Linked DNA regions of Drosophila melanogaster. Changing the gene in region 1 together with any one later gene gives a genetic interaction. Each region holds a gene or a part of one and is shown in the gene's direction. Other genes may lie near its edges. The genes, in order: Pten, Rheb, Akt and Tsc1.

What was found.
Region 2: of Pten (region 1) and Rheb, changing one suppresses a phenotype caused by changing the other (phenotypic suppression), as found in Drosophila melanogaster (2 studies listed by BioGRID).
Region 3: of Pten (region 1) and Akt, changing one suppresses a phenotype caused by changing the other (phenotypic suppression), as found in Drosophila melanogaster (6 studies listed by BioGRID).
Region 4: of Pten (region 1) and Tsc1, changing one suppresses a phenotype caused by changing the other (phenotypic suppression), as found in Drosophila melanogaster (2 studies listed by BioGRID).

The regions. Positions count from the first base shown.
Region 1 is NT_033779.5:10,255,796-10,262,994, reverse strand, and holds Pten (phosphatase and tensin homolog), read left to right. Parts: upstream 1-1,945; 5' UTR 1,946-2,141; exon of another isoform or gene 2,142-2,410; 5' UTR 2,411-2,741; intron 2,742-3,007; exon of another isoform or gene 3,008-3,304; 5' UTR 3,305-3,419; coding exon 3,420-3,519; intron 3,520-3,581; coding exon 3,582-3,754; intron 3,755-3,821; coding exon 3,822-3,966; intron 3,967-4,079; coding exon 4,080-4,267; intron 4,268-4,338; coding exon 4,339-4,446; intron 4,447-4,597; coding exon 4,598-4,760; intron 4,761-4,821; coding exon 4,822-4,931; intron 4,932-5,001; coding exon 5,002-5,217; intron 5,218-5,278; coding exon 5,279-5,600; intron 5,601-5,872; coding exon of another isoform or gene 5,873-5,877; exon of another isoform or gene 5,878-6,085; intron 6,086-6,488; coding exon 6,489-6,508; coding exon of another isoform or gene 6,509-6,542; 3' UTR 6,543-6,676; downstream 6,677-7,199. Other genes in the region: Rsf1 (repressor splicing factor 1), read left to right, coding at 1-179; CG5676 (uncharacterized protein), read left to right, coding at 7,180-7,199.
Region 2 is NT_033777.3:5,567,051-5,571,026, forward strand, and holds Rheb (Ras homolog enriched in brain), read left to right. Parts: upstream 1-1,870; 5' UTR 1,871-1,989; exon of another isoform or gene 1,990-2,155; 5' UTR 2,156-2,172; coding exon 2,173-2,221; intron 2,222-2,349; coding exon 2,350-2,421; intron 2,422-2,524; coding exon 2,525-2,732; intron 2,733-2,791; coding exon 2,792-2,921; intron 2,922-2,977; coding exon 2,978-3,067; 3' UTR 3,068-3,441; downstream 3,442-3,976. Other genes in the region: CG12746 (uncharacterized protein), read left to right, coding at 1-310; CG2931 (uncharacterized protein), read right to left, coding at 563-1,471. UniProt on the Drosophila melanogaster protein: Binds GTP and exhibits intrinsic GTPase activity. Activates the protein kinase activity of TORC1, and thereby plays a role in the regulation of apoptosis. Stimulates the phosphorylation of S6K through activation of TORC1 signaling.
Region 3 is NT_033777.3:16,097,613-16,105,241, forward strand, and holds the start of Akt (Akt kinase), read left to right. Parts: upstream 1-1,615; 5' UTR 1,616-2,048; intron 2,049-3,147; exon of another isoform or gene 3,148-3,167; intron 3,168-3,287; 5' UTR 3,288-3,331; coding exon of another isoform or gene 3,332-3,574; coding exon 3,575-4,114; intron 4,115-4,182; coding exon 4,183-4,380; intron 4,381-4,445; coding exon 4,446-4,835; intron 4,836-4,898; coding exon 4,899-5,132; intron 5,133-5,200; coding exon 5,201-5,347; intron 5,348-5,418; coding exon 5,419-5,502; 3' UTR 5,503-7,629. UniProt on the Drosophila melanogaster protein: Serine/threonine kinase involved in various developmental processes. During early embryogenesis, acts as a survival protein. During mid-embryogenesis, phosphorylates and activates trh, a transcription factor required for tracheal cell fate determination.
Region 4 is NT_033777.3:24,128,588-24,135,189, forward strand, and holds Tsc1 (Tsc1), read left to right. Parts: upstream 1-1,719; 5' UTR 1,720-1,817; intron 1,818-1,908; 5' UTR 1,909-2,078; coding exon 2,079-2,172; intron 2,173-2,232; coding exon 2,233-2,489; intron 2,490-2,550; coding exon 2,551-4,861; intron 4,862-4,918; coding exon 4,919-5,076; intron 5,077-5,202; coding exon 5,203-5,332; intron 5,333-5,389; coding exon 5,390-5,742; 3' UTR 5,743-6,067; downstream 6,068-6,602. Other genes in the region: GatB (Glutamyl-tRNA amidotransferase, subunit B), read right to left, coding at 1-35, 99-235, 305-729, 785-1,100, 1,165-1,278, 1,337-1,481, 1,535-1,596; Sec10 (secretory 10), read left to right, coding at 6,327-6,359, 6,420-6,602.

The DNA.
Region 1 (7,199 bases):
CAAGCAGCTATAATGGCAGAGAGGGCGGCGGCAGCGGCTTCAATCGCCGCGAGGTTTACGGCGGTGGACGCGACAGCAGCCGCTACAGCAGCGGAAGTAGCGCCAGCTACGGACGCACTGGTGGTCAGTCGGCCGGACGCTTCAGGTCCCGCTCGCCGGTGGGAAACCATCGATTCTAATGACAACACCACTCATAGTTGCTTAAGGATTGCCTATGAGTAAAGATTAATAAATAATAACTTAAGCGCGACCGTAAAACGCAGACTCAAACATTTAAAATCGTAGCATTCGATCGTTTTCGATCGTCCAACAGATTCCCTCATTCCCCCACATCAACAACAACAACAGAATGATAAAAAAAAAAGAAAAAACAAAAAACTGATAGTCGTCGTCTCTTCATTATTTATTTAACGAATACCCATTAACATGACAATTGCAAGCACGTAAAATTTAAGTTATAACGTAGAAAACTAGTAAGAAAAATACGCTAAGACTCGAACAACGTCAAACCAAAATCTAGAAGTACGCAATTTTAATAAAGGAAATGCGGAACAGTTTCTCGTATACATAAAAGCTTTCGCAAAATAATTGGTCTAAAACATTAAAGAATTTTGAGAACTCGGAATTGTGTAGGTGTTCATTTTTACAGAACCTCTTATAACCATCGTAATAAACCCTACGAAATGAAGCAGTCAGCAGTCCGAAACTGGTAAGAAAGCGTTTTCGAAAATCTGCTTTGTTTTCTGAATCTCGAAAACCTAAAAAGCAATAACCGCCAAGTGTTTACAAACAAATCATTGACTTTACGTTTTGGTAAGAAATATTGCATGTGTACTATCCATCGATCTAACTTTTTACCTATTAAGACAAATACTATACAAATCTATAACTTATTGTAGTTGGGTCGAAACGGCAAAAATCTAGCCAATGCTGCAAGCAACTATATTAAGCGCATCGGTTTTAATGTTTATGTTTTATTTCATTTAACTAAATTAACAGGTCATTTGTTGGAGTATCTCTTAACGTCACTTTCAGATTTATTAGATTGCTTAAAGTTCAAAACATAGCTAAGCAATACTTATGATAACGACGATTAGTTAGTTAGCCCAAGGGGCTATTAAATATTTAAACGATGGACTGCAGAAACTTTTTAAACAAATAAAAAGCGAGACAAATAAATGAGAAATTGGTTAACACGGCAAAACACTTGTTTTTATTTCTTCGTCTTCGAGTCCTTTTTGCTTCAATAACATTTACTGATGATTGGCCTATTTTGATTTATTCAAGTTACGAATTAAAGTCAACAGTTGAGAATTAAGTGGTACCAAGAATTCATTTTGCGGAAACCAACTAGCCTTAAGATACGAGTGTAATTTTTAAAGTTTTGAAAATTTTTTAAAATTTTAAATTATTCAGATAGCAGGTTTTGCTTTTGAATAAAGGAACTTTAAATTCCAATCATATTTATGTCAAAATAATCGAATACCCATAAAAAACCTGTTGCACTTTTATCGATTGTAAATAAAAAAAGAGAGGATTACATTAATGGTATTACCCAAACTGATAGTTTTCAATAGCATTTCAATGGCTGGAAAAAAAAATAAATAAAAGGTATTCGTAAATCTTAAAAATGTTTGCGTTTTAAAAAATTGCATACCAAAAATAATATTGGTTTTGCAAGAAATGGAATTTTTAATAGCTGTAGCAATATTAGTTTCGTGGGTAGAACTCGAGTAAAAGATGTGTTGGTAGTCATGTTTTTGGTAGCATGAAGTTATATGTGTGTTGTTTAATAAGATTAAAATAAATGCATAGATAATTACATATTGTTTAAAACCGCAGTGCTAAAAAATAAATGGTTGTATCGATGACCCATCGATAGTTTTTGCATACACAATTTAATCGAGAGGGCACCACGCACGTCGATAGCACTGGATGTACATTTTCTCAAATCTTGTGGTGGTATCGCTCGCCGTAAACACCCTGTGGATCTCACGCTTGATAAATTAATAATACATTTAATAGAGCATGAGCGCTACTGTTTAACTTTTACACATAATTGAAAAGTTTTATTTGAAATTTCGTGGCTTAGAGCAAAACATGTGATAGCTTTTTGAAATGCAGTAGCCAGAACCTGCTCGGTTGGAACATTTAGCTTATTGACTTAAACATACCCATATGCACATACATACATATGTATTAAACAGTGGGCACATATATTCGTGTGGTGCTGATAGTGTAAATGTGTAAAATGTCTGTGGAATTGTAAATATGTTTTTGTTTAAACAAATATGTACATAAATGCACAAAAATCGGTGCATATATGTGCACATGCCCATCATCCATATCTGCATATTTCTGTACATGCATATGTGCTCTAACTACAATACATACCACCATTCGCAAACAGTTTGTCAAAAAAGTGTGTCTACTCGGCGAGATAAAACAAAAAACAGTTGCCAAATCAGTCGCTATGTTAAGTAATTCGAAATTACTGCTCGGTGTTTCTAAAACGGATTTTGATTTTGATTTTCACCCCTCGAAAATCGCCCCCTCAGCCAACGAACCCATTTAATTGCTCGAATTCGTATCGAAATCGCCGTGCGTTGGGCTTCAATAAAAGAACTCTGTTCTGTTAGCCAGTTACAATTAAAACCAGGACCATTTGACAACCAATCTGAATGTATTATGCCAAGCGGAAGATTGTTATATTGTTTATCTTTGATAATATGCCGATACATGTAAGTATGTTTCACGTGTGTGCCGCAAATGCCTGCCTGTGTGTGTGTGTGTGTGTATGTACATATGTGCGTGTGCATGTGCGAGTGTGTGTGAGTGTGTGCATGTTTGTGCTAAGGATATTTGTGGATATATAAACCGAACTGAAGTTAACTCTTTACCTGTTCCTGGGAAAACAAGTAGGGAACTATTCCTATAGAGAGTGCACCTCTGTCTGTATGTGTATGTACGTGCTTAAATATGTATCCAAGCAAGAACTGCAAACAGGAATATATCTTAGCCGAGTAAGAAGTATTAGTTTATATAGAACAACCTAAGTGGATCGGGAGAAAACAAGCCCATTATATTAGTTCCATATATCCCTTTAGAATGCCTTGGCACAGTATAATTAAGCAGTTTCTATTGACCATATTAGAAACTTGTCTGCTGTTAAAGGATTTAGGTTTGAATTCGCAGTAGAAAACTAAGCTGAATTGAGTCAATACTTTTCTAACTTGCTGTGGAAAATAAACAGATTAGTTAGAATCATATGCATATTAATTAATATGCTTTACATTCCTTTCAGAACGTACACTTTGCAATGGAGTAAATAGAAGACAAGCACTGGTTCCCAAATACATTTGAATGGATGCAGCTAATCTAATTTAAATAAAAAAGACAAGTCTTTAAACCTTAAAAATATGGCCAACACTATTTCGTTAATGTCCAACGTGATACGCAATGTAGTGAGTAAAAAACGTATACGATACAAAGAAAAAGGATACGATTTGGATTTAACATGTAAGTTATTGAATCAACCGCAATCATTGGAATATTAAATTAAATTATCTATTTACCCACAGACATTAATGATAACATAATTGCCATGGGCTATCCAGCACCGGATAAACTAGAGGGCCTATTCAGAAACCGTCTGGAAGATGTCTTTAAGCTATTGGAAGAGAATCATGCCCAGCATTACAAAATCTATAACCTATGCTCGGAGCGTAGTTACGACGTTGCTAAATTTCGCGGGGTAATTTTGTTGAACTTTTTCTATTTGTCGGCGTAAAATATGTAAAATATACTATTTCGCATTACAGAGAGTAGCTGTTTATCCGTTCGATGATCATAACCCTCCAACGATTGAGTTAATACAACGATTTTGCAGTGATGTTGATATGTGGCTCAAGGAAGATTCGTCCAATGTTGTAGCCGTGCACTGTAAAGCTGGAAAGGGCAGAACCGGTAGGAAATGTGTTCAACATTTTGTGCGAAAGTTCATAAATATCATGGCACACTATGATCTTGTTTCGATATTTGTAGGGCTAAAAAACTAACCCAGTTTTTTTTCATTTCAGGTACCATGATCTGCGCATATTTAGTGTTCAGTGGAATTAAAAAATCCGCCGACGAGGCATTAGCGTGGTATGATGAGAAGCGTACAAAGGACCGAAAAGGTGTGACAATCCCATCTCAGCGTCGATATGTTCAGTATTTTTCCAAACTAGTTTGTTCAAGTGTTCCATATTCGAAAGTAAGCCTTAACGTGAGTATTTCCAGCAGCAGCGCCACATTCAGCGCCGTACAAAATCTAAATATGCATTTTTTGTATCTCAGGTATGTGAAATACGCTTCTCGGAGTCCAGTTGTGTGCAAAACTTAGGCATGGTAGAATGTTCAATATCTGTATTACACGACTCAGCCACAGAAAATGCAAAGCCAGATGTAAGTATATAAAGTATATAGATACATCATTGATAGACTATAGACAGCATTTTAAAAATGTATATTTCACACGATTTCAGTGCAGTAAAGTGTTCCTTTTCGAATACCTTTCTAACCAGCAGTAACATTCTTCTTTTTTTTATAATTGCAGAGACTGAAAACCTTGCCGATTGATTTTCAAAAATCATTTGTTTTGACCATTAAACCATCAATACCAGTTTCCGGCGATGTAAAATTTGAACTCACAAAAAAATCCCCAGATAAAATCATTTGTCACTTTTGGCTAAATACGTTTTTTGTACGAAACTATTCACGTAAGTATACTTAATATCGCACATGCATTAAATAAACGATTTAATTAAACATTCTCTTTAGCTTGCGAGTCCGATGGAACAGTTAACAAATATATACACACTTTAAGCAAATCAGAAATCGATGATGTACATAAAGACAGTGAACATAAAAGATTTTCAGAAGAATTCAAGGTAGGATATTTCGAAGCATTTTAATAGATGCTGCGAAATTACCAAATAAATGTGCTTGCTCTCTTTTCAGATTTCAATCGTTTTTGAGGCAGAGAATTTTAGCAATGATGTTCAAGCTGAAGCGTCCGAAAAAGAGAGAAACGAAAATGTTTTAAATTTCGAAAGATCAGACTATGACAGTTTGTCTCCAAACTGCTATGCCGAAAAAAAAGTCTTAACTGCGATCGTCAATGATAATACAACGAAAAGTCAAACAATAGAAACGTTGGATCATAAGGATATAGTTGTAAGTGAAAACACGTTTTGCGCCGATCAATATGCTTAATCTATAAATCTAATATTCGTAGACTAAAATTCAATACGACACATCAACCAATTCAAAAAATACTTCGACTGCGTGCAAACGCAAACAGCCTAATAGCAAAACTCTTTTACCAAGCTTGAATGATTCCACAAAAGAGGAAATAAAACGAAATCATATATTTAATCAACCGTCCATTAAGAAAACTGATTTAATCAAATGGCAGAATAGTGAAGTTCATATCACCTCTGACACTCGAAGTATAAACGAAAATAAGAACATCAATTACAATTCATACATCACATGTAAACAATCCTCTCCAAAATTCAACTGTGGTACCGAAGATGGCGAGGAAGATTGGGAATCCGGTGAGTTTGCTGCACACTATACTCTCAATGACCAGATCTCACTAAAAATCTATCCGTTTTAATCGAGTAATACCGAACAATTGTTCTAATTTCACATTTATTTAATACTAAGAGTTTCGATTCAATTGATTTCTGGACCATTATCGGTTTGATTTTGTAATTAATTGTATTGTATGAGTATTCAAATTAAGATTTGTTAAAAGAGATAGCCTTTATCGACATATGCTATCGTCCACACATTTATATTCTTATTGACTTATTGAATTCGCCAGAATAATCACCCGAGACGATTTAAAAGACTTCTGGCTGAACGATCTCTTAATTTTGATGTATAAAACGAAGCCACCAGAACTGGATTTATATGTCCCCAAGACTTTTACGAGTATACTAGCAGAGACAGGCTTACACAGATCCACTTCCTTTCACGGGGAAACGATCGATTACAGCTGCGCTCTGCACATCTGTTTAGAATTTAATGTACATAGGTGAGTGAGTGGGAGCCCATGCCTGCGGCTCGAATGGTCAACTAACCGGCAATCCTTAATCAGTATCCGCATCGATTTTCATCACACATCCCTCACCGCTTCATAAGTATGTGACTCTGGGCACTGCCATTGTCCTTCTACTCAATTCATTTAACAAAACTAGCACCGAACTGTCGAACTTCGACTAATTCGACTATTTCACTGTTGCTGTTGAAAACTAAATATCCTGAAGCAGAATGTGTCTTTTGTGTGTTTCATCATCATCAAAAGTCTTCTGCTTTTAATTCATTCATGCTATTTTGATTTTTATCGTATTCTCGTTGAGTTTTAGTTAATAAATTCATTAAGCTTGTTTGAGCAAAAAAATCTAAACTAATAAATGAATATTTTTCTTTATTTCCAGGTGAATCAACATACCTGTAATCAATGCTTATTACGGACTTATAATTCTTGGTGATTTAGCAAAGTAATTAAAATTGCTAAGTAATTGGCTAATCTATTCGAATTTGTAAATATACTGTATGATATTTATTTAAGTAGTTTTAACAATTATTTTAAATAAACTCATGTACATTTTGTATTGTAGATTTCATTCGAACTTTGGGTTTTTGTCTAAAGTAAGGGGGGAGAAATAATTGACGTTTAGAAAAAAATACTTAAATTTATAGTTTTGATCTCGAAACTAGTTTTCGACACGAAAAGTGCAGCGATTAAATGGATATCTCATATTTTATTGGAATTTAACTAATAGTTTCAAATGAGGCAATAGCTAAGATAAATAAATAATAAGAGGTTCTTGAAATTTGCCAATTGTTGTGCAAAGCATACAGGATTCACAAAGGTAATTATCAGATTAATAATAAATATTCAAAGTATGATTATTCCAGTTTCTACGTTAAGTGCTACCAGTTATTTTTCTTACTCTTTTTCCCATAATTCCCCTAACATATGTTCCACTTCCGAGTTCCAATAAACCCAACACAAAAATGTTGTCCAAATTGACGCTATCTTGACGGGCATATATTATTGTGTTAAATTGACGTAAACTGGGCGGTCAGAATTTCGCATCTTAACGTCGACATCTAATTTTAAAAATGACTAATTATTCGGAAAT
Region 2 (3,976 bases), on another chromosome or scaffold:
ACCTCTGTTTATCGCACTGCTGGTTGCAGTTAGTCGCACCTGCGACTACCACCACCACTGGCAGGATGTGACCATCGGCGGGCTGATTGGCCTGTTTGCAGGCTATATAAGCTACACACAATACTATCCCTCCATCTTCTGCCCTGATGCCGGCATACCACTGGTCAGGTGGCCCAGCAGAGAGGGAAGCCAGTACCAGCGACTGTCTGGAAAGGACGACAATGGCAGTCGTGGTCCCCACCATCTCGATGGTGGGGATGCGGTGCGGAGACCTCTGCTCGCTGACAAGGAGGAGTCCAAATGGTACTAAAAGCTTTACGTAATATTATTGTGAGTGTTGCTTTCCCGTTTAAGGTTTTTAAACATATTAGACAATTTCTGATTTAAAAATGTGCTGCTGGTTTACCTCGTAATAGGATGGGTAGGGTTTGTTAATAAAAACTAAGCGCGTCAATTGCTAAACGTAAATTTATTGCTCATCTTTAGCAGCAACATCCAAATCTAATTTGCTACATCAAAGTGACCGAAACTAGCCTAAAGGACACGATATGCACACTCAGATTCAAGTCATGGAATTGAAGGCCTGCAGAAGCACCTGTTTTTCGCGCTCCTTTTTCTTAACTACGTCAAGACTGCGTTGTCGCCACGTGCTCTTGCGCAGTTTGATAGGCCGGCTGCCCACATAGCGGCCGTCCATCTCCTTCATGGCCCGTATAAAGTCGGCCGGTTCTCTGAAGCTCACGAAGCCAAATCCCTTGCTCTTGCCCGTGCGCTTGTCCCGCACCACACGGGCCCGCTGAAACGAGGGGAACTTGTTGAAGGTCCGGGTCAGGACCTCGTCGTTGACGTCGTTTCCCAAGTCACCACAAAAGATGCGGAAGTCATCGTCGGGCCAGTCAGCCAGCGAAGTATCCTCCCACACGGTGCCGCCAGCGATACGCACCGTCTTGCGGTCTTTCTTTTTCCGCTCTGTTGTCTGGAAGGATTGCAGCGCCGATGATGCGCGCGCTGCCTTAATGGCCTCCTCTGCAATGGGATTGGGTCCAGACTTTTCCGCCTTGAGCTTCTTCAGCTTCTGCGTTACGTCAAAAGAGACGGCGTTGATGTCGATGGAGGGCGCGGCGGCCACGGTGGGCACGTGCACAGACTGCCGGCACTGATAAAGTTTGGGGGCGCTGCTCAGGACTACGGGAGTGGCAGACATAGCCTTGGAAGAACCACCTCCACTGCCCGTAGGCACGAAGGTGGACATAAACGTGGGTGGAGGCGGCATCGGGGGCGGGGGTACGGTCAGACGCGATCCTCCATTGCCCTGGTGATGCTGCAGCTTGTGCTGCGAGTTTTGGTACGTATTGGCGGCTATGATCGGGCGCACCTGGTTGGGCACGAAGAGATTGCGGGCGGGGGGCTTCGAGATCTCCGCCTCGAAGCGTGAGAGCTCATCCTCGATGTTGCGACGCTTTGTACCCATTTGAAGTGGGGTTTTCTCTTTTAAAAAATCAAATCAAAGCAAGTTTTTACGAAAGTGCTGCAGAAAACTCGGAGTACTAAACAAATATCGATTTCGTTCCCAATCGATTGCACTATTTTTATTTTAAAGGCCTGTTTAGACATGTCCACAGAATCAGGCTCTATTTGCAATATATAACAAATAAAACAGTTATTTTAATATCATAAAACGAAGACATTTAATATGTTTTAACTATTTAAGAAAATAACTGCGACTTTTTACACTTGATTACGACAAGCACCTTTCCGAACGGGCCTTGATATTTTCTGCAATTGTTGACCGTTAAACTAGTAGACGATAGTGTAGTGTGACGGTTCCTCATTAGCTGGCAAATGCCTTATGTTAGTAGGCTAGGAGTGGTATTTCGGCTTCGTCGACACCAGCACTGATTCAACTTCAGAATTACTGTTTTCTTTTAGACGATCTGATAAATAATACTGGAATTAAAATCGCCGGAAAAGCTCTAGCTGTGATAGAAAGTATCCTCAGCAAGCAAAATAAACGCAGAAGCAATATTCCTCATACACACATTTAAAGAAGGAGCACGGGCATACCCACACAAGCGCACAAAAAGTCGAGGGGCGACAGCAAAAACAAAAGTGTGGAAAATCACAAAACCAATAAATTTCTCCATTTATTTCAAAGCACTGGGCCCCAGGAAAATGCCAACCAAGGAGCGCCACATAGCCATGATGGGCTACCGATCAGTGGGTGAGTTTTCCCAGAAAGTTCCGCCAGAAGCACTGACACTGTTGCTGCTGGCACTGGTAATTGCGTAGTATTTCGACAACAGCAAGAACTATGATCAATTGACCATAATAATTACGCTTCGCCCGCAGGCAAATCGTCGCTATGCATACAGTTCGTGGAGGGCCAGTTCGTGGACTCCTATGACCCCACCATTGAGAACAGTAAGTGTCACATCCCATTCCGTGCGGATTTCTTAGAAGCCAGGCTGACTCCATGCTTCGATAGCAGTAGCAATGCGTAATGATCGGTAATTCCCATTCGCAGCCTTCACCAAGATCGAGCGTGTAAAGTCGCAAGACTACATCGTAAAGCTCATCGACACGGCGGGCCAGGACGAGTACAGCATATTCCCGGTGCAGTACAGCATGGATTACCACGGCTACGTCCTGGTGTACTCGATAACCAGCCAAAAGTCTTTTGAGGTGGTGAAGATCATATACGAAAAACTGCTCGACGTAATGGGCAAGAAATAGTAGGCTTCTTCCCCGTGGGTTCCGCTTGAGAGCTAAGCTAATCTTTTTTGCCTTTCAGTGTACCTGTGGTGTTGGTCGGCAACAAGATCGATCTCCACCAGGAACGAACCGTTTCCACGGAGGAAGGCAAGAAGCTGGCCGAGTCCTGGCGAGCTGCATTTCTCGAAACGTCCGCCAAACAGAACGAGGCAAGTACCAAGACGAATCACACTAGCTGAATGCAACTAAGGTACTTCCTTCGCAGTCCGTGGGAGATATATTCCATCAGCTACTGATCCTCATCGAAAACGAGAACGGCAATCCCCAGGAGAAGAGCGGTTGTCTTGTATCGTAGGGCGGCTGAGTAGCTAAAACTACGGCCGAACTGTTGGAAATACGGCAAATCGCTATGGCAATACGAAAATCGATTATCTCTTATCTACACAGTTGGGTCAGCGTGCATGGCGGGGCCGTACCCTTTGTGCGCAGCAGGAAAATCTAAAAATCTAATAGACCTAGTATTCTTAAGACCACACAGCAAGTAACCAATATCAAGCGATCTGAATGCGTCCGCTAAACGCTGCCCAGCAGGTTTTGTGGTTCGCGTCTGGCGCAACACAACAGGTTTAAGTTAGTACGTTTTTTTTACAACAACAATTCAGTTACAAATTTCATATACAAATTCTGCAAACTTTTAGTTTCAATTTAAATATAATTTTTCAAAATACTATTCAAGATTGTATTTTAATGGTCAACATTTTCGATTGTGAAAAATATAGAGGTTGATTTACTAAAGTTACAAGTGCGTCGAGAAGACCTGCCAGTTGCAATTCCAAAAAGCTGGATTTACTTTATCTCGTCCCTATAACTGATTAAATAGGACCAATACCTTAATGATTTCTATAGATTCCCAACCGTTGTGAATTCTCTGGAGACCAAGGTTCAGCAAGTAAAAGAACTGGGAGGATCTCGGTATGGTTCTTAATAAGAGTAATTTCAAACCAAATTACTATTTGGATAAACTGAAAGACTCACCTGGCCACTCTAGCAATATCTGCATCTGTTAGCAAAAAAAGGGGTCTTTAAATTTTAATACCGCTATTTCTTATGTCACAATTGGTCGGACGAATTTGATTGAATTAAGATTTGGCTGGCTTAATATTTCTAAAGACTGATTATAGAAAAAAGACATAGAAATTATTTCGCATTAAACCGATTATGAATAAAAATATTTCTTGTCTTACTTATCTTAAATCTAAAATGC
Region 3 (7,629 bases), on another chromosome or scaffold:
GGTGCTAGCTGCGGAAGGGGGGCGTTGGTGGGTTAATGCGAAGTTCAAGGGCGTGACCAAAAGTCTGGACTAATTCGATTTGCACTGTTCTCTTTGCTGCGCTCTATCCAGGGGTGGATCTAGACAAACGTGCAGGGCATACCGTTCATTTCCAAACTTGAAATTACAACTTACATTTTTAAAATCAGTAACACAATTTTAATTCACTGAATAGTTTAAAGTACGGTATTTATGTGATTTGATTTTACAAAAACATTTAAGGTGCCCATAATCCACGTTTAAGGTCCCCTGGATTTCGCCCCTGTACTGCTCAGTCCTGTTCTCTTCGTATTGCTATCTCGCTCTTACAATTGCACAGCCACTTCGAGCAATGCACCCGCCCGCACAACAACCGTTATCTTGCCACGGTGTTTGTGTGAATGTGCACATTTGCAAATCACATAAACAATGGCATATTTCTTCACTTTTGCACCCACATTTCTTCTGCTGCGGTGGCGGCTTTACTTTTGTCATTGAGTCGTTGCCATTTGCCCTGTTTCTGTTATTATTTATTATTCAATTATGCGCTTTCTTTTCCACAGCTAGCATACATTTGTTTTGTTTTCACACGGTAACACACACACACACAAAGAAAGGGGGGCTCGTGGCTGCGTTGGTATTGATTGCTCGAGACTGCACTCTTCCCTTCTCTCTACACCATCTCTTCATATTTTTCATTTCTCCAACTAATTGAATGCAACCGATTCTGCCTCATTACTTATGCTCATGCTTTTCCAATTGCTCATATTCGGCGAACGCTCTTATTCGGCCACAGCCCACAGTGATACACACGATAGGCAGAAAAAGAAAGTTGAGAGTCAATAACACCTTTGTTTTTGCACTTTTCTACGCCTTTTTTGATAACACACACAAACATTGGGAGGGACTCACGCACACACAGTCGCGCTGGAGTCGTTATTTGTTTATTTGAAAGTGGCATGCTATGTTCTCCCTTCCGATTGGGTTGCAAGTTATTTACCTCGTTTTGTGCCAATGGGGCACTTTATTCGCTACTCGTTTTTTGTTTTTTTTTCGGATTCAAAGGAGACTTCGCGTTCTGCATAAACAAATCTGAGCAAGAGTGCCCAAAGAGGTGAATATCAAATTTGATCTGGGAAACTGGAAAAGAGAACTGACTTTTTCTAGCTACTTACACATGGTCATACTTATCAGAGTATCTACTTAGTGCGGACAGGAACCATATATAAAATTGATAGGGCTTCCAAATTTTTGATCAATTATGCTTTGAAAAGTTATAACAATTTGTCGATATAAGAAATAGTTTTGTATACATAGCATATAAAATAAAGTTTTTAAAAATGAATTTAATAACAATACAGCATTATTATTAATCTGCAGTTCATACATTCAAATTTGAAGTGAATTCTAGTTAAAGAGTCGGCCTAGACAGTCAGAAAACAGAACTATTGCCTTCTAAAACATTTAATTTAAATTTAAGGGATATTTGCGCGTTGTACAGCTCTTAAATAATGTCTCTCTCTGGCATCTTTCCACCGTAACAGTCGCCTAACTATCGCTAAAACAGGTGGCAACGCGGATCGAATCAGTTATCGAGCCAGTTATCGAAAAAAAGTGAAGCGTAAAAACTAAACGGTACTTGGAAAATTTACTTTGCCTGTGTGCGTGCTTCTGTTTATGAAAACTACGTTTTTAAGCATTTGCAATTGATGCAACGTTGCTTTGGAAGGCAAGAAAACACCAAGTGGAAACGCCCGGGTGGCGGAAATCGACTTCCAGTGCGCGAGTGCGAGATTGTGTGTGTTTCGTTCCGTCCTCTGGTGTCTGGCACCTTAACACAACAACAACTACAGCAGCAGCAGCAACAACAACAATAGCAAGCAGCAACAACAACACACGCACAATAATAAGAAGGCCTGTGACGTTGTCGCTGCCGTCACCATCTAAAGGAAAATACCAAAACGAGTAGGAAAACAAACCGCAGTGCAGTAGGGAAAGCAAAAGTCGGGTTTTTTTTTTTACAAAACTAGGTGGGTTCTTGTATTTTTCACCAGCATTTCCACAATTTCCATTTCCACGAAGTGATTTGACATGTTGCGCTGCTAGGTCGCCGCTGCCCACACACACTCGCACACTCGGTGGTTCACTCACTCAGCCACTCACACCCACACGGCCAGACAATCACACGCACACGGCCAGACACTCACACATACACTCACACTCATACACCTTTGTGGCAGACACGCGTACTGTCTGTCTCCCTCCCCCTCGCACCCACAGTCTGGCCTCACTCGCACTTTGCAATGCAGCCCTGTCTGTGTGACTGCCTCGGTGTGCGAGCGCCTGTCCGCTTATGCCTGTGTGTGTATTTTGTCGATTTTTATTTTATGTACATTTGTTTACAGTTTTAGATAGATAGCGACATTTGTACAGCCGGCGGCCATCCGTCGTTGACATTTTCGCAAATTGTAAATGAATATGCTTTTGCTTTTGCAGTTGTGCCAGTGTGAGTGCGAGTACGAGTGCGAGTGCCGCCTGCGAGTCCCCTGTATGTGTACATATGTATATGTATGTATTATATATGCATATACATAAGTTCATGAACAGTCGCCGCCGTCGACTTGTTTTGATTTAATTTCGCGCTAAATGCAATCGCGAACAATTTTCACTCGTATCGCCGTGTCGCTGCGTAACATGGCGGGGAATTTCGTTTGAAGCCGAAAGTGGCAGCAACAACAAGGCGACGATGGCGCCTACATCTGCATGTGGGCCAGTGACTAAGAATCCAATCCCATACCATGCCACACCATACCAACCCATCCAATTCGATACAATCAGAATCACAGTCCTCAATCCAATTCAATCCCTTTCTGGCGACGGAAATGCCGCAAATGTTTTGCACCAGCTGCTGACGCAAGCGCCAACTGCATTTGTCATAAACATGCAAAATGACAATAACAATTGTTTACTATCAGCGTGAGATAGGCGATGTGGGAAGTATATATCTGGATAGACTTGGCAGCCTTTTAGTGTCTGTTTCCCCTTTTTTGATAGCTAGCTCATTTGGGAACTCCATTTGTCCACTTTGACTAGTTTATGTCGACAGTTGGCGGATCAGTTAATATCTAGTACATGTTGAATCCCTGAAGGTAAAGGTGTTACTAGACGAACCCTCTGCTAAAGCCTTTTTCTTTTCGTCGATCGCATTCTTAGTTTAAGTATTTCAAACTCAGCATGAATATAAAGGATTCACTGTACTCCTCTTACAGGTCCCTCATTAGCTTGTCCCTAGGGTTAGTGAAACAGCCTCAACACGAATTACCTACCGTTTGTTCTTCAGCGGCGATCGACTGTGGTTGCCAGCGCCCCAGCGCCAGGATCTGCCTCTAGGATCCCGGAATCGCCCACCACCACAGGGAGCAACATCATTAACATCATCTACAGCCAATCCACCCATCCAAACAGCAGCCCCACCAGCGGCAGTGCAGAGAAATTCAGCTGGCAGCAATCCTGGCCAAGCAGGACCTCCGCGGCCCCTACACACGATTCCGGAACCATGTCAATAAACACAACTTTCGACCTCAGCTCGCCCAGCGTTACATCGGGTCATGCGCTTACGGAACAGACTCAGGTCGTAAAGGAGGGGTGGCTGATGAAGAGGGGCGAGCACATAAAGAACTGGCGCCAGCGCTACTTCGTGCTCCACTCCGATGGAAGACTGATGGGTTACCGCAGCAAGCCGGCAGATAGTGCCAGCACGCCATCGGACTTCCTGCTCAACAACTTTACGGTGCGCGGCTGCCAGATCATGACCGTCGATCGGCCCAAGCCATTCACCTTCATCATCCGCGGCCTGCAATGGACCACGGTAATCGAAAGGACATTTGCCGTCGAATCAGAATTAGAGCGCCAGCAGTGGACGGAGGCCATTCGCAACGTATCCAGCCGGCTCATAGATGTGGGTGAGGTGGCTATGACGCCATCTGAACAGACAGACATGACAGACGTGGACATGGCCACCATTGCCGAGGACGAGCTTTCCGAGCAGTTCTCCGTACAGGGAACGACTTGTAATAGCAGCGGCGTTAAGAAAGTGGTAAGTACCACTCACCTGGTCATTGACCAAGGGCGTGATCGAGCTGACTCCATCTTATCTCCTTGTAGACTTTGGAGAATTTTGAGTTCCTCAAGGTGCTCGGCAAGGGCACCTTTGGTAAGGTTATTTTGTGTCGCGAGAAGGCTACCGCCAAGCTGTACGCGATCAAAATTCTTAAAAAGGAAGTTATTATCCAAAAGGACGAGGTGGCCCATACCCTGACCGAGAGTCGTGTGCTCAAGTCCACAAATCATCCGTTCCTCATTGTAAGTATTGCTAGTAATATATAATTTACGTTAAAAAACTAATATATGTCTTCCCTGTTTTGCAGTCACTCAAATATTCGTTTCAAACCAACGACCGCCTGTGTTTTGTGATGCAGTACGTGAACGGTGGCGAGCTCTTTTGGCATTTAAGCCACGAACGCATATTTACTGAGGATCGAACACGTTTCTATGGGGCAGAGATCATTTCTGCTCTGGGCTATCTGCATTCACAGGGCATAATTTATCGCGACTTAAAGCTGGAAAATCTTTTGCTGGACAAAGATGGTCACATAAAGGTCGCAGACTTCGGTCTGTGCAAGGAGGACATCACCTACGGCCGCACAACGAAAACCTTCTGCGGTACACCGGAATACCTAGCTCCGGAAGTATTAGATGACAATGATTATGGCCAAGCGGTGGACTGGTGGGGCACTGGCGTGGTCATGTACGAGATGGTGAGTTTGTTGCATCTGCAAATACTATTAACAAGTATTAAAAACAAAAATAATTCCTTACAGATCTGTGGTCGTCTTCCGTTTTACAATCGTGATCATGATGTGCTCTTTACATTGATTTTGGTGGAGGAGGTAAAATTCCCGCGTAATATCACAGATGAGGCGAAAAATCTGTTAGCAGGCCTTCTAGCTAAGGATCCCAAAAAGCGTTTGGGAGGTGGAAAGGATGATGTCAAGGAGATACAAGCACATCCATTCTTTGCGAGTATTAACTGGACAGATCTAGTGTTGAAAAAAGTAGGGCACAGTAAATCTGTCAGTTACCTATTCGTATATATTAATCGAATTTAAAATGCTTACCGTAGATACCGCCGCCTTTCAAGCCTCAGGTGACATCCGATACGGATACAAGGTACTTCGACAAGGAGTTTACGGGAGAGAGTGTGGAGTTGACGCCGCCGGATCCCACTGGCCCGTTGGGCTCCATAGCCGAAGAGCCGCTTTTCCCGCAGGTAAGATCTAGTTGAAAACATTTAAAGTGGGGTTCTGTATGCTCATCCAATTTTTGGTTTCACCGCCACAGTTCAGCTACCAAGGAGACATGGCCTCCACGTTGGGCACCTCGTCGCACATTAGTACTTCCACAAGTCTCGCATCGATGCAATAGAACAAGTTTACAAACTTTTACCAGCACACATCATGTTCTGCTTCATCACCTATTACTATACTATACCTATAACACATAGAAATGGGCAAAAGAAAACAACAGCAAGAATATATTAAATATTAATTATACCATGATAACGAAGGCAAGCAAAGGGTTTTCTTGCTAGTTTATATACACCAATAATAAGAGAATTGAATTGATAGTAACTTATTTTTGTATAATGAGAAAGGGAACGTTGAACGAAAGGGCAACAGCCGAAGCCGAGGAAAATAATTTACTACATATGATTATACACATATATATAAATATATATATATATATATATATAATTATATATACAACTAAATATAACACTTGGGGCATAGCGCTTGAAGTGATTAGTTAATTTTAAACGCAAGGAAAACATTTAACCAAGCGACTTAGAGCGACTTAGTGCTAGGATAAAGCATGCATCATCGGATCGCATCCTCTAGGGGTCGCTTAAGCTGATTGATTATACAGATTATTCACGCAGACAGCACTCACACAGCCACTTAGCATATAGCGAACATGAAGTTTAGTTAACTTGACAGCAACAAATCGAAATACACATATTCAACAACCGCCCCCACATGCAACACTCGTATATATAAATTATTTATACTCCAAAGAAGCAAAAAAGAAACAGAAACAATTACAAGTTATATATAATGTTAAAATTGCCTCTAATGTGCTGTGCTTTATGCAAAACTACAACAACAGAAACAAACAAACTAATAGTTAATAAACGAGGGAAACATACATCAATGCAGTTTATAGGCGCCAATAATTAGCAAGCAACTAAAAGTTATATTCAGGCAGAAACATATTTCGAAACAATAACGGCAACAGCAAAATGATTACAATTGACGCCATTTTTTATTATAATTTTTTACGAAAAATATATATTTGTAAATATTTATAAAAAAAAAGCAAAAACTCAAGAGTAAATGCAAAAAAAAAACAAAGGATGTATGTGTCGTGTGGAAAATGGAAGTCACCATTTGAGGCCACAGAAAAGGTTTAACCTTTGACACAATAAAAAATGTATCTTTGTCATTTCATTTTTGGCATTGAAAAGTTCATAACAAGTTTTGTATACTTAGAGCAAGTCAGCAAAAAATATATATAAATCAACCACAACAGACTTACAAATAGTTCCAAAAGGAAGATTAAAAATTATATAAACAGAAAAAAAACCTAAAAGAAAATAAAGAATTTTTGATATTTTTATATGCGCAATAAAAACAAAAATCAAGAATAAAACGAAACAAAAAGTTATTTTATATTTCGTAAAGAAAACAAAATAAATATTGTAAATAAAAATTATTAAATAAAATCAAGTTCGGGAATTTCAACTGAAAACAAAGAAATTGAAAGCATAATCTCTCTTCTAAATGTTAAACGAAACCTATCACTCGATGATTACAATAAACAGCAAATCGAAAACGAAGGGATATAGAAACGAAAAGAAAATGCCAAAGAAGCGGCGAAGTTAGGTGGAACTCGAGGAGAACCGAGAATTGAGGAGCCAGCAAGTCGGGATGTTTCGGTTGGAGTCTTGGACATGTGACGATGATGGTTCCAAATCATGACTAGGAACGAACTAACTAGCTAAAGCCAGCCTATGCTGAGGAGAGATATCAGATAGCTCCGATTGAACCAATCTTTATATCCTTGAACAGCTTAAAGTCCTTGCTTTCTGCTCACCAAGTTTGCGGCTGACATCTAGGCTAGCCAATATCAATCTCAGATCGATCAAGCAATACATAGACAAAATATAGAACCCCTAAGCATGGCTTAATAGACATACAACCCGAGAATCGACTTCAACAAGCCCAATAACCCTTCTGACAGACTCGTTAGGCAAGTCTGCCAGCCAAGGGGCAACCAGCTAGAAATCTAAAGCAAAGACTTAGAAATCGGTTAGGGACATCCGAAGCAAATTGAATACTAGCCTTAGTGAACGTCAACATCTCTGGTATCCCAAATCGAAGCATTTTCTACCCGTCGAAGGGGACGAAAGAGACCTTTCAAAATAGTTGTCTAAGTTTACTGAGTTGTGTGAGACAATTTTTGGTTTCGATTAAAAAAAAAAAAACAAAAACT
Region 4 (6,602 bases), on another chromosome or scaffold:
TTAATATATCTTTCAAATCATCAGCCTTAATGGAGCTACATTAGGATGAACACAATAAATTAGTAAAATTCATTAGGTATGTTACTCCCTATTATTACCAATCCTCCACATCTAAGTTCAATTTGTTGCAATAGGTCAACAAATCGTTTATAAGAAAATTGCAAATGACTTTGTTGGGCAAATCACTTAAACTACGGGTAATGCTCAAGAAATGATCCAGCAGAATAGGTTCGTTCTGAAATAAAATCGAGGAGTGTTGCAATTTCAAATTTTTTGTTGACTCAAAAAGGATCAGAGCACGCACCACTAAAATGATGGCAGTTTCCGCATTCAGGTTGTGCTGCTCCACCAAACGTTGCCTGGTGTCCTCTGGTAATTCTGGAATTTCCTCGCTTAGAGCAGCCACTGAAAGTAAATCCTCTGTTGACATTGATCCAGGCTTTAGGTTTACATGAAGGGGTGGTAGATTCGGCTCCGGCATGAATCTGTAGTCCTGCAGCACCTCTTTGTCACGCATGGCCACTGTGCGCCGGTTCTCCGCATCCCAGTTGCGAGTCTCATTTGTAATTACACCGCCATTAGCCACAGTTTCTAGCTGTCTATTAATTTCATACGTAATTGCTTGCGAAATGCTTCGAACCGAGCCAATGTTTTTTACTTCGGTGCGGACTCCCAAGGGATCGCCTTCTTGGTGAATGGATATGTTGGCATCCACACGCAGGGCGCCCTCTACAATAAAAAATACTCGGTTTAAAAAAAGGCACACAAATCCCTTTTGACTCACCTTCCATTTTACAACTGCATGTCTGCAGACGCCTTAGTATCAGTATTAATTCCTTGACCAGCGATGCCGCTTCTTCGCCCGTTTCTAAATCTGGTGCAAAAACCAGCTCCATTAGAGGAAGTCCAGCACGATTAAGGTCAACCAGGCTCCTTTTGAGATAATCATCGTGCAGAGATTTACCACTATCCTGTTCCAATTGCAACTGCAGTAGTTTGGCGGTCTTGTAGTAAACTTTTTTGCCTGGTGTTATCACGGGGAAAGTCATTTTTCCATCATTGGCCAAAGCGGCGCGCTGCTGCGTGATTTGGTAGCCATTCTGGGGAGGAGAAGTTTATTACTTATAAGGCTTAGCGTGGTGTAAACTGAAATTTGAATCTTACAGGCAAATCTGCATAGAAGTAGTGCTTGCGGTCAAACATGGACACTTCGTTCACCCGACATCCCAAAGCAAGTGATGTCTTAATGCCGGATTCCACACATTTTCTGTTGAGAACCTAAAAGCAGAGGATACAATGTAATGATGGCGTCTTAAGTGAGAGTACCTATTCTCACTGGCAATGTTCCCGGTATGGAGGCATCAAAATACGCCACCGAAGAGTTAAGTGGTGCTCCAAAGGATGTGCCACTGCCGGAAAACAGTTTGGACGCACTGGCAATCTGTGCGTGCACCTCCAAACCCACAACGCTTTTCCATTTCCTGAAATTCAGAGCGTTGGAATGAATCCTTATAATATTAATTCACATAATTACCTTTTGGGAACGTTGGCTAGCTTTGGCGCCGTTACCAGTTTTCGGATTATTGAGTAATGCATTATTTTACATCGATTATAACATTCGCACCGGAATTGGCAAAAAGTTGCGCCAAAACAGCTGATGTTGTTTTGATTGCGGCCAAAGCTGCCGGACATTCGCCAGCGGCGTTGCCAGACAAAACCATCGATTGGCTGGCGATAACAGCGCAAGAGGAATATCACAAAAAAATAACCTTTTCATTTTCAAGACAAACATGTAAAAAAATATGAGTTTAGCAGAGGTAAGCATTTTAAATGTGCACTCCACAACCGAAACAATAGTGCAGTGCATCGAACGCAGTGGGAATTTCAATGCCAACCCTTGTTCTCCAGTTCACAGCGACCAAGACGAGAAAAAGCACACGCAGCTCTGCAAAAGACAACCACGACGACGAGTGAGTGGAGTAGAAGGACCAGGAGCGGAGTAGCAGGAGCAGGAACAGTCGACCGAGGGCGGGCGGAAAAATCAATCATAGCGACAGGAAACCAATAAAGCCGCCGTCATGGTGATTGAGAAGATCATTGGTGACCTGGAGTCCAACATGACGCTGGAGAACGAGGAGGCCAAGCGCAAGCTTGTGGAGTTGCTATCCCAGAGTGAGTCCTCGCCAGTTTCAGTTAATATGCCACCTATTCCAACATACCATTTCCCCACAGACAAGGAGCAGTGGGTGGTAAAGTTCATGCTGGACTACTTCTTTACAACTGGATCTCAGCGCATTTTGGAGGTACTGGTCAAAGCCCAGGCACCTCACGATGGGTACATCTTTGACAAGCTGGACGACTGCCTAAAGCAGTCGCAGCACCGAGTGCAGAGCCTCCAGGTGTTCTGCTTCATTGTGCGCCATCACCCTACTTGGCTGTACAAGATCGAGAAACACCGGCTGATCAAAAGTGTTTTTAAGCTTATGACGGTGAGTTTATGGGTGTTTACAATTTTGTCCGAGTTCAGCATCACTTCCATTTCTCTGACAGCACGAGAAGGAGATAGTTCCGCTGATGAGCGCCCTGTTGTGCATAATTACTCTGCTGCCGATCATACCGAATTCTGTGCCCAACTTTCTTAACGATCTGTTTGAGGTGTTCGGGCATTTGGCCTCGTGGAAGCTGCAGAATAGCAATAAACTGCCGGACGAGAAGCTCGTCCACCTGCAGTTGGGTCTACAGATGCTATTTCACCGCCTGTACGGCATGTATCCGTGCAGCTTTATTGCCTATTTAGTGGAGTTCATCAAGCGAGGCAACGGCGGGGGCATCTTCCAGCATACAATCAAGCCGCTGTTGAACACTGTGCGAGTGCATCCCATGCTGGTGACGGCCACGCCAGAGACTGAGGTAAACAATACGCGATGGAAGGAGATGGAGCCGCATGACGTGGTTATGGAGTGCGCCAACCTATCGCTGCCCGTCCTCTTGCCCGAGACGAGCAACGAAGACGGCAGCTATGCGTATCCCATGACGCCAGGATACAGTCGCATGACTTCAAATACCTCGAATACGGACTACAGCTATCAGCTGAGGGAGTTTCAGCAATCGAGAAATGTCTACACCCGCTTCGATTCGTTTGCCTCGGGTGATGATGTGGGTCCGATCTGGAGTCCGCATAACGAGATTGCCACGACCAGTAGCGGCATACCGCTTACACCCACCACATCGTTTATTTTGCCACTACAACCGGCTATGAACTCTCAGCTTATGGTTGGCATGACTGGCTCCTCACCGCCCGAAGCAGCTGTGGAGGCCACACCGGAAACCACCCCCTTAAAGGATATGAGGGATATCAAGCAGCCGGGACGTGCGGTCAATTCGCATGCTGTGAGAGCTATCTTCGCCGTAAGCCAGCCTTCTTCACCCATGCGCAAGGACCAGCAGAGTCAGTTCAGTTTCCCGGATGTCTCTCGCGAGGCGGAGGAGAGCAGCCACTCATATCTGGAGGTCAACAGAGGAACTGCCTATGACCGTCGCCTGTCGCAGGTCATCCAGGACAGGCATAACGTGGAGCGATCTGTAAACACACCTTGTCCAAGCAGCCTGCCAGAAATTAACTCCGATTTATCCCTTGTTGGTGGTTCCGTCTATCCATCTGTCACGCAGGAGGTCGCTGCAGTTTGTGGCGAGTGCAACGAGACGGATAGGAACCTCTGCAGTGTGGGTGGACTTCATATGCCCACCAGCCGATCCATGCACCAGCTGGCAAAGAAGCGCCGCAATCGTATGGCAAGCTACAGTGGAAATGGTTCCTGTGCGGACAGCAGAAGTTCGGCGGCAAAGAAGGCAAGTTGGAGTACTGAGGCAGAGAACCCAATGCGACGAACCAAATCCTGCTCGGCCCTTTCCGGAATGCGGCAGCAGCATCTGGAGGAGAATGATGACGAGGCCGATTGTTCGAGCCAAAGACAAAGAGGGGAGAATGGAAATACGCAAAAGACTGGCAGCCGCCTGCAGAGGAGCGGCCGGAACCTGGCCATTTCGGCGCCCAAGGATACGGCTAGAAGCTGCACCCATGCCTCCACCCAGACGGTGGAAGGACTGGACAGTGCTCCAGCGCAGTACGAGAATTGGCTTATTGAACTCCTGCTGGAGTGCAAGGAGCAAAGAATCGACTATGAAAGGAACCTTCTGTACCCGCAAGATATTCTAGACGAATACATTAAGCATGCGATCAAGGCCAATGAGTCCTTTGACGCCGAGCAGGGTCAACTGATGTGCCTACAGCTGGAATACGAAAGCTACCGTCGATCCATTCACGCAGAGCGCAATCGACGACTCATGGGGCGAAGCAGGGACAAGCGCAGCCTGGAAATGGAGCGGGATCGGTTAAGGGAGCAGCTTAAGAACTTCGATGCGAAGAACAAGGATCTGGCAAACAAAATGGATCAGGCCATTCGGTTGGCCAACGAGCGCCAGAACATCCACCAGGAGGAGCTGGGCGAAATGAGGGCTAAGTACCAGCACGAACTGGAGGAAAAGAAGTGCCTGCGGCAGGCAAACGATGACCTGCAGACGCGACTCACCAGCGAGTTGGCGCGCCACAAGGAGATGAACTATGAACTGGAGTCTCTGCGAGGTCAGGTCTTCAGTTTGGGAACCGAGCTTCAACACACCCAGCAGCAGGCGGACATTGGGCTGCAGTGCAAGCAGGAGCTGGCACGACTGGAGGCCGAGTTTATTATCATGGGTGAGGTGCAAGTGCGTTGCCGCGACCGTCTGGCTGAGATCGATAACTTCAGGGCCCGCGACGAGGAACTGCAGATGCTACAAGAGAGCAGCAACCTGGAACTGAAGGGTGCCTATTCATTGTTTATATGATACGGATGTTTAATCATTCAGTTTATTTATTAAGATCTGAGGCACAGCCTGGACGAGAAGACATCACAGCTGGAAAGCATGAAGCACAAGATCAGCGACCTGCAGGCCCAGCTAGCCAACAGCGAGAAGGCCATGACGGAGCAAAAGCGACTTCTAAGCACCGTCAAGGATGAGTACGAAGAAAAGTTTAAGGTAGGGCTGATATTTAAAATCGTATACTTATCTGAAATAGTTCGGACTTTTAAGAAATAGTCTGTGTTTACCAGTAACTTCATTTCAATTAAGAGTAATAAGCCTTAAAAATCGTCGTCCTTGCAGTCCGTGAACAAGAAGTATGACGTGCAAAAGAAGATAATTATGCAGATGGAGGAGAAGCTGATGATGATGATGCAGCAGCCGCAAGGAACAACAGGTCATAACACCTGTTCCCCGGACACGGACAGAACTGGTGAGTGCAAGAGCTGCTTCGCAGCTAAAGAATACTTACTATTGCATTCTCCCACAGACATAGCTTCATCCATTGAACGCAACTCACCGCTATCCACGTCGCTGGCCTCGAGCGAGAGCTTATCCGCCAGCCTACGCTCCACGGAGCTGAAGAACCTGCACCAGCTAGTGGACACGCCCACTATTCCGGATGTGCTGAACAGCATGGCCGGTGGCGCTCAGTTCGAGGACGAAGTGCGTCCGCCGGCCGTGGATCTGGCCTCCTCGGCAAGCACCGCCAGTGCCATCAACATCGTGCCGCACGCCTTGGACTTGCCGTCGACCTCCGGCGGCATCGGTCACACGCTCACCCACCCACATCCGCATCCGCACCTGCACCTGCAGCAACAGCAACAGGATCAACTGCAGTAGTAGCAGCAGACGCAGTTTGTAAAAACAAATAAGAACTAGCTTTCCTTCGCTAAACAAATGTCTATTGGGAAAACCCGCACAGAAAATTTACAAAAAAAAGTTATTGGTTCTTCATATTTTCATATTCAGTTCAAAACTGTAACTAAGGTTTAATAAATCGCTGACTCCACGCAATAATTATAAAGGTTATAAAAAATATTAATGTTTGAAATTTTAACTTGTTTAGCACATTGCAATTTGTTGTAAAAAAGTGGTTTTGATACGAGGCAATAAGTAAGACGCGCATTCATATTATAATAAACATTTGATTAAGATCAGCAAACATAAAAGCATTGTTTTATTTTATTTAATTGTAAACATACTATTTGTTATATAACAACCGCCAAACATTTAAATTTTAGCTAAGAGAGCAAACAAAAACGTAAACAAACCGAGCGACATTGCCAGCTGAAAGAAAGTGAGAAGTGTGGCAACCTTAAACGAAACAGCTGAGCGGAAGCAACAATAATATAGAAAGAAGAAGCAGAAAAGAAACGCCTATTAAATCAGATCATTTAAATACGAAAACTTAATAATACATTAAAATGCTATCCCAATACATGGAGGAGTTTGAACAGGTGGGCTCAAAGGTCACGTAGGCCCGATTATGGCTTATATTTATTAATCATAACCAACAGGAACCCTTTGAGGTGGGCGAGTTCATAGAGCGTCTGACTTGGCGCACCAACAATGAACTCCAGAACAGCGAGGACTTTCATCCTGTGGCCCTCCACGATACCTTCATCCAGACCATTAAGGACCTAAAGATCCTGCAGGAGAAGCAACAAAGCAAGTGCGAACGGCTAGAGGAGTCACTGCGC